Linked DNA regions of Tribolium castaneum. The protein of the gene in region 1 binds, or shares a complex with, the protein of each later gene. Links are inferred from orthologs where the notes say so. Each region holds a gene or a part of one and is shown on either strand. Other genes may lie near its edges.

Region 1 (3,243 bases):
GCTTTTTAGTGATTGTAATGACGGTTCGACATTATCCATTTAATAGCTTGTAAAATTACTGGTTAATTAATTTTCCAATTGAAAATACGTAAGACTGTCCAGTTTGCTCATCTCACAATCGCTGTAAACGATGACAAAATATTTCGTCCTATTTTTTGGTGAGTGATTCTATTTTATTTCTCAATATTTTTGTTTAGCATTTTTCCTAGCCGAGTTTCAAACAATTATTAGCGAGTGTCCCGTTTGTGACGCAAATGATTACAATCCGGTTTGTTCTTCAGGAAAGGCGTTCAAAAGCGAATGCCATCTTTTGTCACTGCATTGTTCAAAACATGTGGGTATGTATTTTGGTCCCTGAACTTTGACCAGGATATTTTAGCTCCGCAAGGAAGGGTTATTTATGCACACAATTTTTCATTTTTAGTTCTGACAAGCCCCCTCTTTGGAAAATGTCTCCAGTTACATAACCCGAAACCAAACGTCCCAAGCCTCCACTTTTGAGGCCAATAAATAAATGATTAAAGCTAACGTTTTATTAATTCCAATTACAACAAATATATTTTCATGATAATTATACAGGAAACAAATCGGTTCTAGTCCCATAAAAACAGTTAAATCGTGCCCTCGTACGTAATAAGTTCTTAGCTAGATGTTTTTTGGAATAAAAAAAGTATCAAAAACTGAATAAAATCAGCAAATGGAATAGTTACACTTACACAACATTGATACAATTTTCTAATAAGTTGACCAGTTTTAATAACATTGTCTTACATTTAGGACTGATTGGGGTGCAAAGACGCGTAAATTGGGGCTGCCTTTGATTTCGCAAGTTCGGAGGCGTTTTTAGCCGCATCTTTCAATTTACTGGTCGCTGTTATCGTGGCATGAGTTGTGGTAACAGTGCTTTGTAGTGGAAACATGCTAGCAAGGACATGGTTGAACCCTCCCACCTATAATTTTTGCTTTATATTTTGTGTGGTTGCGTTGGTGGAACCTACCATTTTGGAGCAATTTTTCTTGAACCTTTCGTACCCAAATGCACAGATTGCTCGGCTAAAACCTCTGACCTGGGAATCAATCCAGGCAGACCTCACAGCTATGGTCTTCCCAGGCTGGTCATCACTTTGGTGGTAGACAACTTTCTCTGTAACGCTCTGGAAAAAAGGGTTTAAGTCCTGTCGCAGGACGTGATCACGGGCAAATACCATGACTTTGGTGTAGCCAAGGTTCCGGGTGTACGTAATAAAGACTTTATTCACTGGGTCAACAATTGATTCTTCGATAATGTGGACATGTTTGGAGGTGATGAACCTCTCTGCCCACTTTGGAATTGGGTTGGTTTTGCTGAGCAACCGTATGGAAAATAAGCGCCCTGAACGCACATCACGACAAACTGTGTCTTCACTCAGCACATGTTTGCTGAAATTTGGCGAATTATGCAAGTTTTGGAAGTAGAGGCGACTCACCTGTTGGGGTTTGGATATCGCTTCCAAAAGCCTTGAGCCACTTGGTCCCAGGTGTAGTTAAAAATCGTGGTTTGCTCAAAAAACCTGGTCATAGTTGTGGAATTTTCAGAATGATTTATGTAACAGTCGGAATGGAAAAGTTAGCGACATTTCATGCAGTTTAGATTTAATACATCGAAAATATTCCCTTCATATTAGTCACTTGCTTATTTAAATAGCCAATGTCACACCGCACTTTACGAACTGTCAATTTTGTGATATAACCTTATAGGGGATTTTGTAAACAAACTGGAAAGTGACAGGAAACGTGACCAAACTCACGCCATTCACTTGTTTGATTGTTGAATGAATACATGGTTTTTGGAGGGGAAATCATTTTTGGAATATTTTCAAAAAACAGAAATTTATGATCACATGTTAGACCACACATTCTTTAACCTGTGAGTTCAAGTACACGGATACAAGGTCCCATGGTGTAATGGTTAGCACTCTGGACTCTGAATCCAGCGATCCGAGTTCAAATCTCGGTGGGACCTGTGTGATTTTTTCCTTTTTTTTTGGTTCAAAACACAATAAAGTCAACTACATGTTCAATATTTTAACTTAGTGCCGGTTAGAGAGGCTTTAAAAACAAAAAATTAAATTAAAATCGATATGACTCCATATACTCTTAAATTTTAAAAAAACATCGCAAGCAATTTAAGATATTTGATAATGTTGTTTATTTTTAAAATCAAATTTTAAATATAGAATTTAGGTCAAAATTGATAAGATAAAAAACAAAGTATTGGCATTTTTTTATTATCCACGGCAACGAATAAATGGGTGTATTTTGAGCAAGCCCGGGTAGCTCAGTCGGTAGAGCATTGGACTTTTAATCCAAGGGTCCAGGGTTCAAGTCCCTGCTCGGGCGGCCAATTTTTTTAATTTTAAATTGTCTAATTTATCTAACAAATTGTAATATTAACAATTTATCACAATAAAGTCGTGACAATGAAGAAGTTTTGTTTATTTTTGTACCTAAGCTCCTCTTTATATCACATTTAAAAAGGATGTTTACTTTCTTAAAAAATTCTTTGATAATAATTAATAAATATAAAGTAATAACATTCATAATGATAGTCACTACAAAACAGGCAAACAGATAAATTATTTCATGTTTTATTGCTGATTGACTATATTTTAAAGAGAACAAACATTCAACAACATATATTTTTGTAATTTGTTTATTCTTACAACAGTAAAAACTCACACTCAAATGCAGAGATAATATTATTTATGAATTTAGTTGGGGCTTTCAGTAACAATTTAATGACTAGAAATAACATAACGGGGACACAATAACCGGAAATTTGTTTGCGATTTCCAACTACTGTAATTTCACAGTTATGATCCTTTAAAGCACCGGAAAGTTTGACTAAGGCCTCTCCACTTATAATAAGCTTCCTCCAACGGTTTTTTGTTTCTTACGTAACATTTTGAGACAAACTGTTGACCAGCGTGTATAATAACTTAGGAGAATCAACTTGACCTAGTTCATTAAGATGGGGTGGAAACAAGAAGAGCCTAAGTTAACCCCTGTGGACTTGAAAGTCTACATTAGTTTAGAGTCAGACATCGCAACCGCAAAAGCAGTCGATAATAAAGCTGAACTAACCAAACGCCACTAATAGATTTTTGGTGGCTTTCTGATTCTTTTTTATCGCTAATGATTTTGAACTTTGCAAAACGCCAAATGTATGGTTTGATCGCGCAGAGGTTTCAGATATTTTTCCCC
Region 2 (2,589 bases), on another chromosome or scaffold:
TTTTAATTTGACATGTTTTTAAACAATATAATTTTTAGTAAAAGTAACAGGGTGGTGCATTTATGAAGTCTTTGACATTTCGCTAAAATGTCAATTTTTGTTTATAAGTCGAAAACAAAAGACGATAGTGGAATGCGTTTGACAAAAATTATTTTCTCAAAATAAAAATAATACATGTACGAAAAATAAAAAATATATCTTCCTGATTATGATAAAATGTAGGTTCCCATTGGAAATAATATCAAACATGTTACGAGGGGGCGAATACCAAACTGTATCACCTAGTATTTCAAAAATAAAACAAATTTGTTTAAAACTGCATTTCTACCATGCTTTAAGTTCCTAACCCAAGTGACCTGTGACTCAAATTAAGTTGGCAACGAAATAGGTGACAGCGTTGCCAACTTTCTTTTGAACTCATTGGCCACTTTAATTAAATCAATCTTTGGTGAGGAATGATTTGAATTCGCAGGCATTCTAACATCTAACACAATTTGACCAGTAACCTACCGTTCTAAATTTTATTAAAATATACACCACGTTTAACATTTATGTGCCAACGCAATAAAATTACACATCAAATTGTGGATCTTCAGTCATTTCTTGCACTTGGTGATGGTTCTGACTACTCACAATGGCTGGGTTTGAGATTATGCTTGAACACATCCATGAGCACACGAAAGACGACCAGGGTCAGCTATTTTTTTGTGGGGGTTTCCTCTCCTGTTCAGTACCCAGTAAGTTCTTCTCAACTTCGTGGAAATCAATTTGTTGGTCCTTCATTGCTCTCTAAAGCCAAACTCACGATATTTAATTCATGACAAGGAAGTGAAAAATACTCACTTTAACGCATTCTTGGTACACTTTAAAGAGCGGGGCACACATGGAGTCGTTGGTGTGCCCTTTGAGAAAGTGCTCAGAAAACCAGGTATTGAAACAAGCATCGTAGTCCTTTTTCAGTTCGTTACACGCCTCTCCAATGCTGTCCATAGCGAATTTCGACGATTTACTGAAAGCAAAACTCATGTTTATTCCAAACGATGACCCATTTTGATTATTCAAACCGTTATCTATGCGCGAGGGATTTAAAACACCCGATTTTAAGGTTATGTCCATCGATTAGGCTCGTTATCTTCCATGACGTTGCGCTTATCTCTCACCTTTGCATTACCACTACCTTTACGTTATTTCGTTACGTTACGTTGGAAATTTAAAAAATGGAAATATTTTATTAGTTACTGATAACAGTGATAACTCCTAATAATTTACAATTTTGCCAAGGTCATGCCGAGGTTCTGCACTTTGCGTTAAAATTGTTCGAAAAATTCTGAAATTGGGTCGAAAATGTAAGCTCTTTTTTGCGAAACTTTTTGTTTGAATGAGGATCACTAAATTATGCAAATTCTACTTATTCTTCCTTATCTTTAGCATTTTGTTCAGTCATAGAGCAGAAATGCAATTATATTTCGCCAAGTTTGACTAAAAATGCGAAAAATCGTCAAATTGCGAATTAAATTAATTGACTACGCTCTGTTTCAAAACTATGGAAATCTGAGAGTTGTTATATAGTGGCGGTCAGCTCGGTTTGCGTGTGCGTCATCAATTTAATTTTTTCATTACCAACACAAAACTGTAAAAAAATTATCAAAAACAATGCAAATTTAAACAACTAAGGGGTATCTAAGGGTGGTATCCTTGAACATTAATTTACATATGCACTTCGACAACACCATCAAGTGTCACGAATTTGTCAAACTGACATTGACAGTAAATTATAGACGTCGTCGCATGGTTGTCGAAAGTGTTATCGGTGTTAATCGCAACTATTTTCTGTTCGTTTATTGTGTTTTGTGATTTGCGTTTCGTTAGGTTTTTGATTCTGCGTTTATTAGTTCTTGTTTTGTGAATCTGTATTTTTTGTAACAACTCATAATTTAAACACTTCGTAACCTCAAAAAATATTTGATAGTTTGTCACCGCTATGCCCCTGGAGTGCGTTCATAAACTAAAGTATCTTGTGTTGTTGTGACGTCAGAGTAAGGCAATTTTCACCTAGAGTGAATGCAGAGCTTTCTGAAGTTTATGAACGGTTGAAGTAGACTGCAACATGACAGTTGACACTCTTGTAATTGTTTGACATAAAAATATAACCTGTCGTTTAAAGTAGGTAAGTGACAAATAATATCAGCTCTTTGGTCCGTTTATGGCATAGGTACATTTAAGCCCACCAATTCAACAAACGAACCGTAACAATGAATGACATAATTACTATCCCTGTTGTATTATCATCGGAAATGTTATTTGGCATTCCGGTTACATATTCTTCTGATGAGGACAGCGATGTAACTGATGAAGAAAATATTGTTACGATGATGCTTATAAAAAGTAGGAAAATTAAGAAACCTCAACGTATTGAGAATTATATTGAAGCAACAATTTCTGGTTATACCAAGCAAGAATTTCAGCAACATTTTCGAGTAACCATTGAGGCTTATGAACAACTCTTACAAACAGTTGGCCCCTATTTAATGCGACAAGCTGCTACTGGACGAAGTACTGTTCAAGTCGAAAAACAATTGTTGTCAGTTA

What was found. Proteins that work in one complex are often made in the same cells at the same time.
Region 2: the proteins of prel (region 1) and TP53-regulated inhibitor of apoptosis 1 are in contact, whole or in part, in a crystal structure (PDB 6I3V), measured with the Homo sapiens proteins. The link is inferred for Tribolium castaneum from reciprocal best matches to the Homo sapiens genes PRELID1 and TRIAP1. Residues at the interface, in NP_037369.1 of Homo sapiens: Trp15, Asp16, Phe19, Ala20, Trp23, Gln24, Tyr26, Pro27, Val34, Leu35, Thr36, Glu37, Asp38, Ile39, Val40, His41, Arg42, Val44, Gln48, Lys49, Leu50, Leu51, Ser52, Arg53, Leu55, Thr57, Tyr79, Leu81, Asp83, Ser84; in NP_057483.1 of Homo sapiens: Met1, Asn2, Ser3, Val4, Lys12, Tyr15, Asp16, Phe19, Asn20, Trp22, Phe23, Phe27, Leu28, Gly30, Asp31, Ser32, Phe41, Tyr44, Gln45, Val48, Gln49, Ile52, Ile57, Pro58, Ile59, Leu62, Glu63, Phe64, Met65, Gly66.

What each region holds. Positions count from the first base shown.
Region 1 is NC_087397.1:918,467-921,709, forward strand, and holds prel (protein preli-like), read right to left. Parts: upstream 1,801-3,243; 5' UTR 1,559-1,800; coding exon 1,467-1,558; intron 1,420-1,466; coding exon 1,206-1,419; intron 1,155-1,205; coding exon 999-1,154; intron 951-998; coding exon 774-950; 3' UTR 519-773; downstream 1-518. UniProt on the Homo sapiens protein: Involved in the modulation of the mitochondrial apoptotic pathway by ensuring the accumulation of cardiolipin (CL) in mitochondrial membranes.
Region 2 is NC_087394.1:7,774,465-7,777,053, forward strand, and holds TP53-regulated inhibitor of apoptosis 1, read right to left. Parts: upstream 1,209-2,589; 5' UTR 1,065-1,208; intron 1,010-1,064; 5' UTR 991-1,009; coding exon 844-990; intron 790-843; coding exon 694-789; 3' UTR 508-693; downstream 1-507. Other genes in the region: uncharacterized protein LOC135266305, read left to right, coding at 2,253-2,589. UniProt on the Homo sapiens protein: Involved in the modulation of the mitochondrial apoptotic pathway by ensuring the accumulation of cardiolipin (CL) in mitochondrial membranes.